Linked DNA regions of Oreochromis niloticus. The protein of the gene in region 3 purifies or fractionates together with the protein of the main gene of each other region. This does not show direct contact. Links are inferred from orthologs where the notes say so. Each region holds a gene or a part of one and is shown on either strand. Other genes may lie near its edges.

Evidence for each region.
Region 1: the proteins of sod1 (region 3) and park7 purify together in Homo sapiens (affinity purification with mass spectrometry; 4 studies listed by BioGRID and IntAct, with this or other methods). This does not show direct contact. The link is inferred for Oreochromis niloticus from reciprocal best matches to the Homo sapiens genes SOD1 and PARK7.
Region 2: the proteins of sod1 (region 3) and hexb purify together in Homo sapiens (affinity purification with mass spectrometry; 3 studies listed by BioGRID and IntAct, with this or other methods). This does not show direct contact. The link is inferred for Oreochromis niloticus from reciprocal best matches to the Homo sapiens genes SOD1 and HEXB.

The regions. Positions count from the first base shown.
Region 1 is NC_031970.2:18,651,003-18,654,757, reverse strand, and holds the start of park7 (Parkinson disease protein 7 homolog), read right to left. Parts: upstream 2,572-3,755; 5' UTR 2,465-2,571; coding exon 2,375-2,464; intron 1,863-2,374; coding exon 1,761-1,862; intron 1,621-1,760; coding exon 1,561-1,620; intron 1-1,560. UniProt on the Homo sapiens protein: Multifunctional protein with controversial molecular function which plays an important role in cell protection against oxidative stress and cell death acting as oxidative stress sensor and redox-sensitive chaperone and protease.
Region 2 is NC_031972.2:14,375,415-14,379,169, forward strand, and holds the start of hexb (beta-hexosaminidase subunit beta), read left to right. Parts: upstream 1-1,085; 5' UTR 1,086-1,166; coding exon 1,167-1,417; intron 1,418-1,561; coding exon 1,562-1,716; intron 1,717-3,519; coding exon 3,520-3,585; intron 3,586-3,755. UniProt on the Homo sapiens protein: Hydrolyzes the non-reducing end N-acetyl-D-hexosamine and/or sulfated N-acetyl-D-hexosamine of glycoconjugates, such as the oligosaccharide moieties from proteins and neutral glycolipids, or from certain mucopolysaccharides.
Region 3 is NC_031975.2:15,129,397-15,133,151, reverse strand, and holds the start of sod1 (superoxide dismutase [Cu-Zn]), read left to right. Parts: upstream 1-1,046; 5' UTR 1,047-1,133; coding exon 1,134-1,205; intron 1,206-2,577; coding exon 2,578-2,674; intron 2,675-2,825; coding exon 2,826-2,895; intron 2,896-3,755. UniProt on the Homo sapiens protein: Destroys radicals which are normally produced within the cells and which are toxic to biological systems.

The DNA.
Region 1 (3,755 bases), on a different chromosome or scaffold from region 3:
AAGTCTCTATGTGGTCAACAACAGATACACATCATGCCCATATGGTGGTCTAAACCAATCAGAGATAGTCAAGGGCGGGACCTCTCTGATTGGCCATGGTAAAGATATTCCTGTAGGCCTACCTGCGTACGTTTGAAAGTGCAGGCGTATAGAGAGAGGTGAGTAGCCTAGGTCTGACAGAAGTAATAGATGTAGCTGTGAGTAATGGGAAAAGATGAAAAGAATGATTGATTACTTTTTCGTTAAGGCCTGATCCGTCCAAAATTTATAGCCAGTGCTCTGACACAGAGCCATCAACCTCCCAGGTTGTGTCTAACACTGGTCCGGAGACGGCATCAGATAATGAGCCACATATGAGCGACTCTAAGCCAGAGCCCACTGAAAGTCAAAGGGGGAAAGTGTATACATTTCGAAGAGAATAGCTTGACCAGTTTCCCTGGCTAAGATACAGTAAAGCTGACAACATGATGCACTGCATTTACTGTGGTGCAGTGGCGGGCCCTGCATTTACTTGGTATCAGATCAATACCAAAATTTGCAGTATAACAGAACACTACTCTGTGTTGAATGAGAGAAGAAGTTGGCAGGACAATTCCTGGCCACTTTTCTACATGTGAGTCACTTCCTTGTTTTGTTTGCACACATCTTTGTTACCACCTCTTGTGAACATCAGGTAGACCTTTTAAATAATATCCTAAATATCCTTCAAACTGTGAGTCAGTACTAGGGTTGCTGTATGCTCATTCTAAACACAGTGTGTGTTAGTTCCCCTGTTCCCCAATTGGCATTTAACCAGCAGAAATAATCGTCCTACCGCTGCCAAATATTTGCAATTTTAGTAAAAAATGTTATTGTGATACTATGCAAACAAGATAACATTACTTGCACACGCATATAGCTAAAAAGAAGCAACTGCATTTCTTTGGATATAATTATCAATTTACAAATTGAGAATGGTCCCAATACTGGAATTTTGGCACAGCAGCAGAGAACTTAAATCCCCGAAGGTGGTGATATCAATCTGAAACTGAATCTGACAAGGTGGTATTAACTGAGGACCCAAGTGTGTGACGGAAAGGGTGTATGCGTTTAACAGTGGATTTATACTTCTGCATTAAATCTATCCCATAAGTACGCAGTGACCTGAAAGAATGTACAAAGAACTCGAAAAACCCGATGGGAAAATATGTTTGACTATGAAAAAAACAATAACAACAACAAAACAAAACAAGATTTTACTTGTTTCTTTTGTCACTGGCACCACATATAAAACACCAGGACACAATCACGAGATAATAAAACACATGATGCACCACACACAAGCAGACTCATTTGTGTAGGTTACACCATAGACTATACAGAAGATTCAGTTCAGACATATTAATCAAACATAAGACTGATGAACCTTGAGAAACTTTAGAAATTTTTTCACACTTTGGTTTCACTGTCAGTTATTTAGTCCTAATGTTTAGGCAAATTCAAGCATTTTAACTTGTTTTTCTTTTTAAGCCATTTCCAAAAAAAATGTTACTGTAAAAACTGGCCCCCTCCCCATCTCACCTCTGCTAGATTCTGGGCTCCTGGCATTCCTCCTGGCAGAAGGACCACATCATAAGGGCCCTAGAGAGGGGGGGGGAGGGGACCATCAACATTAACATTTTTCCAATAACAAAAATATACAAGCATATAATATAAGCATTGTAAATAACGCTTTTTTTTCTTCTTGCATGTAATGTTAGCAGGTAGTTGCTGAGCCTCACCTGTTTGCTCGCCTCCTCCAGACTGGCATCAGGACAAATTACAACGTTTCTGCTACACTGGACTGGCTCTTTGCCGGTAAGACCAGCTACCGTCACTGCTATCTACATGTTTGGGCAGTAAAAGAAAAAAACAACAACAGTGCATCATTATCCTGATGGTTCAAAGTGGCATTTTGTCTGCACTCTGTATGGCTGACGTAGACTTTTATTTTGAAAGATATCAAATGGCGGAGATGTTCAACGACGACGGACTTTGACATTTAACTTGACCTCTGTCTGCACTCACTAGTAAGGTTATGAGTCCGTCAACCATTAGCAGACACAACCCCAAAATAGCTGACTGAAAACTTAGCTTATGCGCTAAAATAACCTAAAATATGCAAAGGGGAAAATTGCTAAGTTAGATCGACAGTGTTAGCAAGCGTTAACATTAGCACAAGGTAAGTGCGTATGTTACACTTATCAAGATATCAGGCTGTTATAACAGTCTTGACAGGCTGATATCTTAACAATGCTGCCACCAATACTGATGTGAGTCGACTGAAGCGGGGTCTAATTTTTATAGACGCTAACAGGCTAATTTGCTAAATGCTAACATATAGCATGTTACAAACCCCAGCTCTGCGCATAATGTCCACGGGAATAACAGTTTCCATCTCCTCTGCGCCTTTAGACAGGATTACTAACGCCCTCTTCCCTGCCATGTTAGCTTGCAGCTCTGTACTGCTAGGTGCAAAGACGCTAACTTCTGTTTCCAACTTCTAGAAGCAACCTGCACGCGCTGCGAGTTTGACAGGAGGGTTGCCAGACTGCGCGACACTATCCCCCTTTCTAGACTGCGGTCCGTGCCTATTCTACTCGCACCTGCAAGTATGTGAATTAAAAAAGTAAAGTAGTTAGATTCTTTTATTGTTTATAGTTAGTAGGATTTTGCAAACAAATATATTGTGCGCAAGAACAGGAAGGACAGGACCTGCAAAGCATGTCACTGTACCACTCCAGCACATAACATCAGGGTGCAAGACGCTAACAGACAGGGCATACATAACAGAGTGGCTGGCATAGTGTACAGGAACATCTGTGCTCAGTATGGCTTGCAAGTCCTGAGGTCGAAATGGTGTACGCCCCCTCGAGTGGTTGAGAATGAGCAAGTTAAGATCCTGTGGGAATTCTAGATACAGATGGACAAACTGGTGATGGCTAACCAATCGGACATAGTCGTGGTGGACAAGCAGAGGGGAGACATCTGTAGTGATAGATGTAGCCGTAGCAAGATAGATCTCACTTCTCATCCCTATTTATTGTTGCATCCTTTTGCAGGGCAAGTCAGTGAAACCTGAAAATCAATGATGGATGGAGCTCTTGGAAAGCATGATGACCAGGAGAACAGATCACTGGCGAGTGTTTGTTCTTTGCCCCTACTATCTTAGTGCAGTAATGCTTCCTTTCACAGTGCTTACAGCATGTCTTCCGGTGGCTCATAACATCCGATCACAGTAAGCCAAGATCACACAGCTTATCCAACAAATCATCATTCCAGCTGCTTGTTATACTATTTCTATGCCCTGGCAGGGTCTGATGGTCTCTACTACGCTGATTTAAGCCAGATTTGAAACACAAGTATTTATATCTCAAGGCTGTTTAACAAAAACAGCATTGTCTTCTACTGCAGCTGTATCTAATGGTGTTTAATAACAGGCAATGCACTCTTTCTTCCAGTAGGTGGAGGCATTAACCAAAGATTCAAGAAGGATTTAGAAGAACGCATGAGAAAGAATCAATGCAACACTAAACATATATTTTTTTTAAAGAAAATGTCTCATTAGTTCAGTTAATGTCAGGCTCATTGCAGATTAAAATGAGCAGCTCAACAGGTCAATTAACTAAAGTAATGAATGTAGTTTTAAAAAACATCTCCAGGCATTAGGTCTCCAAAGTCACAAAGTTCTTCAAGATCTGCCTGAGAACTTACTTCTGCACAAAACTCTTAAGACA
Region 2 (3,755 bases), on a different chromosome or scaffold from region 3:
CACTGAACCATTTAATGTTCACTGGCAAACTTAAGCTGGGCCTGTACACCTGTCTTCGTGTACAGGGACAATATGAGCACTGCAGGATTTCAATCCATTACATCCATTCAGTCCTTACTGAGTTACCAATGGTGTTCTCTGTGATTGTGGTACCAAATGAATTCAGATCATTAATAAACTCCTCCCTTGTAATTTTGGGCTGATCCCCCACCTTTCTCATGATGATCTTCACCCCATGAAGCAAGATCTTGCATGCAGCTCCACGTCAAAGGTGATTCATGGTCATTTTGTATGTCTTCAATCTCTGAATAATCACACAAACAGCTATCATTTTCTCACAAAGCTTCATGCTGATTGTTTTGTAGCCCATTCCAGCCTTGTGGTGGTCTACAGTCTTGTCCCTGACAGATGTTTGGGCTTGCCCATAGTGGTGGAGAGGTTGGAATGGCGTGCTTTATACACACATGAGTATCTATAACTGATTGATTGGTTGATTGATTGTAATATGTGTTACACATGGGCAGACAGCCAGTTTGTGGGGTATTAAATTGTTATTTCACTCAATGAAATACAAATCAATGTATAACTTTTATGTGATGTGTGGGTTATTTCTGGATTTTTGGTCGATATTCTGCCTGTCGCCAATAAAATGAAACTGCAATTACAATTAGCGTTGTTCATTTCCTTACAAGTGAGCAAAGTATAAATTCAGAAGGGGATCAGATAGTTACCCCACGGTGGATTGTCTTGATCTGTGCCAAATGTTGACTGTTTTAAGGTCAACAAGGTCATTAAATTTGAATAGACGGTCGATTGAAGTATGAATCCAAGAGTTTTAATAATTTCATCATATACTATATCATCATTTTTGTCACGCGTTTTCTTACTTTGCACTGAGTACTTTGACACGTAATAGTTTAGCATTAGTAAATCAGCTTACTTCAATAACATTTCATTCATACTGGATCTGACTCGATGATTTGGCTGAGTAAATATACGATACATTGTACTTTTCAAGAGAGCCGGTGTTACGGCAGGTTTGTGGTTTCTCTTTAAATTTCTGTTAAATTTGACTTCCGCATGGAAGTCCCGCCCCCTCTCGCAAAATAAAAGTGCTACTGTCGCAAGGTCTTGTGACTTGACTGTAATTTGTCAACAACACGATAATGCTGAAGTTTGTGTCGCTGTTGCTGGCTCTTAGCTGCTGCCAGGGGCTGCACCACAACAACATCGACGACTATGTTGAGGCCGAGCCCGTTTTCCAGGCGTCAAAGTACGGCTCCCTGTGGCCTCTGCCGCAGAAAGTGCAGATTTCAGAGGTTTCATTCAAGTTAAGCAGTGCCAGCTTCAGGATTGTTGATGCCAAAGCGTCGTCCGCTGGACCGAGCTGCAGTCTCCTACAGAGCGCATACAGGAGGTGAGCAGCTGTGTCTATGAGCTGTTTTTATATTTATTTATTTGCATCGCTGCACATGATTTATATATGTGGCGAAATCTCAACACCGCAGCCCGTGTTGCGTTCAGGGGCCAGTTTCCACCCTCATGCTGTCTCTCTCTGCAGGTATTATGAGTACATGTTCGGCAGCGCTAAAAAGCAGTGGGGAAGCAAAAACAACAGGCGATCAGATCCCTCTGATCTGACCGAGCTGCAAGTGTGGATCACATCACCTGACTCTGAATGTGACGGTTACCCCAGTGTGACTTCTGACGAGTCATGTGAGTACCTTCTCTTCCTCGTTCATGTCATGTTTTACCGCAGTATCCAATCAGGCGCCTCTTCCTCAGCTATTCCATGTAACTAGGTGTAACTACTGTTACTAAACTGCCTTGCGTCGCAGAGGGGAAATTCTGTAATTTTTACTCTATTACATGTATGTTCAAGCTTTTCGGGGTACTTCCCACTGTATGAATTTACAAAGCAAACCAAAAGAAAAAGATATGCAATGAAAGTGAAAACGAATGAATGAAAATATGGACCAAAAAAACTGTATGACACTCATTTTATAATTGGTACAGCTGTTTTATATTGATTATGTATAGTGTTGCTAACTTTATTGTAATTATTGCCACCTGAAAACAAATTTTCATACTATGCAACCATGTGGAAAAACTAAGTACACCCTTACAACTCCCATAGGAATTAAAAGGTTAAGTGGCAGCCAGGTCCTGAGCTTGATTAATTGATCATTGGCCACTGTGGGCACCTATCTAAAGGCACAGGTTTGGGCATTTAACATCCCAGGAAATTCACCCCAAGGTCAGAGCAAAAGCATCTCAGACACTACAGGCCTCAGTTAGCATGTTAAATGTTAAAATTCATGACAGTACAATTACAAACAACCTCTCCAAATGGGTTGTTTGGAGAGGTTTTTAAATGTGCATAAGAATGAATCACAACACCTCTGGAACAATGCCCAAAGGGTGATGTTTGGTCATAATTTACAACTCCAAATTTCAAACGCAGTTCATCAGCACAAATACCTCATACCAACTGTCAGCTACGGCTTTTGGGCCAAAATGCCTCTACACCAACAATAGACTGATCCAGTCATACAGAGAACACTACAACAGTACAATACGACAATAAGCAAACAATAGTTCAAGGTGTTCAGCGTCGTTTTCAACAGGACTGCGTAGTCCTGTAGACATGTTCGTTTTCACAACTGTATTTAAATGTCCATCTGTGGTTATGCAGAAATGAATATTGCAAACGGTTATCTGCCTCTGCATGATGAGCATGATATTCATCTGCTCTTGCTTGTGGTTTCTCTCCTGTTTTTAAGACTTTAACACTTGACTTAGAAGTACATTTAGAAATCAGACTGAAATGAAGAAGAAAAACAGGTTTATATTGCGACGTTTTAAAGAGATTAAAATTTCATTAAATTACAGAGTTTAATTACATTTTTGACATGTGAATTCTTACAAAACATCAGTATTAACTTTAGTACCACCAACTTGCATTTTATTTGATTTACAAACTAAATAAATTGAAATTTGTTTTTTATGAACTCATAATAGTTAAAGCCTTAAAAACATACTACACTGTACTTTTTATCATCTCACAGCCCTTTCACTTTATGTTTTGAACCACTGTACCAAACCTTGTCTAAAGCAATAATAACCAGCTGTGACAATTAAACGCTTTTTATTGTCGCAGTAGATTATTATTGCTTAATTGTTTTCATTCAAGGAATGTTATAACATTCATTTTTCTGTGAATACTCTGACTAATATTTCACTGATGATACATTTATTTAAATTGGAAATGCAGGCTAATTTCAGTGCACTAGAGCATTTTTGACTGGTTTCAGTGGTCAAACTGAAGACTTTCCAGTGGAATTAGTGATCACCTGGAGAGCAAATACTAGGATTAACCCAGTTAATCTACACTAAATGTTCAAATCCTTCCTTAAGGCCATTACTTCACCATTTCCTTACCCTGACCTGAACACCTCTACAACAATCGGCCAAGTTTTGAAAATGAATATGCAGTAAACAGGTGGTGGTTTCTTACAGATGAACTGACAGTGAATCAGCCAGTTGCTGTCCTGAAGGCACCTACGGTCTGGGGAGCTCTGCATGGTAGGATTTACAGCATTTATTTTCATTGTCAAATTATTTCTTATTTCCCATTTTCTGTTTAGTAGTAAGAAAACAAGAAATTCTATCAAGATTTCTTTGTCTTTTTAAAAAAAAAAAAAAGCTCATATGAATAGTTTTTGTTTATCTTGTTTGTTTTTTGAGAAATTTCC
Region 3 (3,755 bases):
TATGATCCTGCAACAGCACTTGAGGCAGGTTGAGGTGTGTACTTGTGGTGCCATTGTGGCACCTCGAATCTTTTCATTTTCAGCCATTCTGTTGTAGATTTGCTGCTGTGATTGGGATCACTGTTTTCCTGCATGACTCAATTTTGTTCAAGGTTTAGCTGTCACATAGATGGCCTCACATTTGACTGTGGTACACGGAGGAGCTCATGGTCTGCTTCGTCCCCGCAGTGATAAGGTGGCCAGATCATCAATCTTCCATCACCGTGCTTGGCAGTTAGTGTAAGATGTATGTGCTGATATGCTGGCTTTGGTTTTGTTTGGAAATGCCCCTATACGTCTTCTCAGATTGATGGACAGCAACAGATGCTCCTCTAAGATCATTGCTAAGATCATTTCCACAAAGTGCCAAAATTTCTGCTTTTGTAGCTGTGCTCACACTTGCTGATGATCAGTTAATCAATTTGATTTGATTATGATTATTTACTCTCTTAACTCCTATGGCAGTAGTAAACATATACTCAGGTTTTCACACACTGGTTCAATATTAATGAGGCTGTTATGTTGTGTTGTTTATATGAGTTTGTGATTAAGAAAGTTCAAGACCTACTGAGGACCAATTTTTGATATGCACTGACACGAAAAACCTTAGAATTAACAAAGGATGTCCTTTGTTTTACCATTACTCTAGGTGTCAACAACAGCAACAAGAAACTGCATAAAACGTTCAGCTCCACCTACACCACATCTATAACGAAGGGCTACACCATCACCAGTTTATTACACAATTAGTAGGCTATTGACTGGTAGTACTCACAAGGATACATATGACATTTTCTAAGTACTGGGAACTTTGTCAGATCTACTCTTGAACCAGTTAATATTTCTCATTTATCTGTGTATTTCATATATTTAATTACTTTTATAACGTGGTTGTAGAGATTTTTTTCCCATCTGTCTGATAAGCCAATATCTTAGCAGTGACCAATCAAAATGTGCCATTTTTAATTTTATTTGATTCTGATTGGTTGATGTAGCATACACCCGCCTATTAGTTATGCAGTATACGTAATCGCTTGTCAAAAGCAAGACCACGCGTTCATAGGCTGGGTGTCGTGTCTCAAACTTCTGCAAAGATGGTGCTGAAAGCGGTTTGCGTTTTGAAGGGAACTGGCGACACTAGTGGGACAGTTTATTTTGAACAGGAGGTAAGACGGGCTATTCTTCGTTCACGTTGAGAAAAAAAACCCCGTCCCACAAACTACGCATTTAGCCGTTTTAAAGCGAAACGTTAGAAGGGTTAATGCACATCCTGCTCTTACAGTTATCGCCGACGGCTAAGCTAGCCAAGTTCTGCTCTCTTTAGCTTGTCTTAATGGTTAGCTTGCTGTTGGCTTGCTAGCTAGGTACGCGTTAGCTTGTGAATAACAAGTCGTGCAAATTTGCGTGGGTTTTCTAACAGTCTGGTCTCATATTCAACGCCGCCCCGTTGCTAATTAACCTCAGTTTACTCTGCACAGTATAGTCAGTGGATGTTGCTTTTCACTTCAAAGTAGGTTGCTTGTGTCAACCACGCATTTAACAGGCTATATGAAATCACTGGCTTGTCACTATAGCAGTAACCTTTGGCCACTAAAGCCTGTGCAGTGTTAATGGTTAAAGGTGTGTTTTTTAAGGCCCGCCCAGGCTGTTTGTATAAGAAAGACGCTTGTTGCATAAGTTCAACGTTTGCAGAGACAGTCTAAAACAGACCGTCAGATGTGGTTTCATCTACCAGGCAAGCACTTCTGTATGTAACGCTTTTGCTGTAACTCCGAAACAGCCGGCAAAATGCTTCGATATTATTGTGATCCATCAAAACAAGAGCAAACGCGAATTTGCTCATTATTTTTTTGCCGAGTCATTGCCTGTCCTTGTTTTCGTTGCCTTTCGTTTATTTGGCCTTCTTGATAAGGGTAAAGTGCACTGTGCAACCGTCAAAGACACATGGTCCACTATCAAAGAGACGGACTCATTCACATCAAATCAAACTTTGTGTGTAAATTACAGTGTATAAGTAATATTTGTAACCAATCATTTGAATTCAGTTCAGTGCATTTTAAATTTATAGAGCACCAAATCACAACAGTTGCCTTAAGGTGCTTGGAGGTTTAAACGTAGTTTTCTTGAAGACTTCCTGCTGTGCAGACGTAATGAATGATTACCTGTCCCTTTCCATAGAAAATGCATTGCATCCTCCAGTAATAACTTTCAGAAGGCATGATTGTGCAGTTTAAGCTAACTGTACCATGCATTAAAACAAACTTATTGAACATTACTGCTGTTGTAGTTCAACTTAATAGGATTTTTTTAAGTTTATATTTGAGAGTATGTCTTTTGTAGTAGATCTGAAATGTCTGTTATTTTTTTGGCACCAAATCCCACAGCCCAGCTTTGTTTTTCCTCCTTACGTTATTATAAGGAATGTCTGTCTGGGGTGGGGCATGCTATTGAATGGAAGTAATCTTCATTCAATATTCCCGTCCTTCTAGCCACCTGGCTTTGAGAGCTTCTTTTGTATTTGTGTTTTTGATCTGCTAGAATGAGTCAGCCCCTGTGAAGCTGACAGGAGAAATCAAAGGCCTTACCCCTGGTGAGCATGGTTTCCATGTCCATGCTTTTGGAGACAACACAAACGGTAAGTTTCTCTGTGTGTGTGAAAGAGATCCAAATCCAAAGAGACTTGGATTTCTTAATTTTCAGAATTTGATAATGTTACTGCATCACCTAGGTAATCTAGACTAAATTTGCAATAGTTCAATATGTTTCATATATATTTTCTTACCCAGGGTGCATTAGTGCAGGCCCACACTTCAATCCCTACAACAAGAATCATGGTGGGCCTAAAGATGCAGAAAGGTGAGTCCAGTCTGAAGGAAGAGTATCAGTATAAAAAGTAATTATATTGCTCATTAGTAGTAATGTTATGTCTGACACTGAAGCCCCAAGGCCTGTTAAGCAAAGTGGGTGTGTCCAAATGAAACCTTTGTTTAGGCCTGTATTCTTTAGAATATCACGTGGCAACTTGCCTGACTGCCTTGTTATGTGATTCGAGCTGTTGAAAAGATGTGGGAGTTAGATTTTTTTGCATGAATTGGATGTGAGGTCATTCTGAGGATCATCACGAAGTTGCAAGGAAATTTTATGCACATTATGGATCAACAAAAAGGGCAAAAAATATCAGCAGTTAGGGAGGATTTTGACATGATACCTCCCAGTAATAACACGTCTTTTCAAATCAATCTCTGAGGTACATATCTACTGGTATGTAGCACACATGTATTATCACAGCAGAGCTGCTGTAATTTGAATGACCAGTAAATGTCAGTAATTTCAAATGAGCTTCGTGTGATTTGCCTTCTGGTGAAACAATTCGCCAGAAAGATTCAACAATTTCACAGGAGTTCATGCACCATCACTACTCATCAGCAATGGCTACAATAAAAGTTAATGTAAATGGTTACAAAGGACTGAAATATTTAGTAGGGTGCTTTGAAATAAGCTTCAGATCATGTCAAGAGGTTGACATTTGAGCAATATTTACCCCCCAAAAAAAAGAAAAAAAAGGTGGGGTCCTTGTTGTGATATGGCTGTGCCATTCTAAGGGACACCAAAAATACCCTTGGATTACTTGTCATTTAGTTCACTCAAAGTTGCAAATGATTTTAATAGATTTACTCCTATATAGAAATAGCTCAGGTGAGTTTGCATAATTTTGC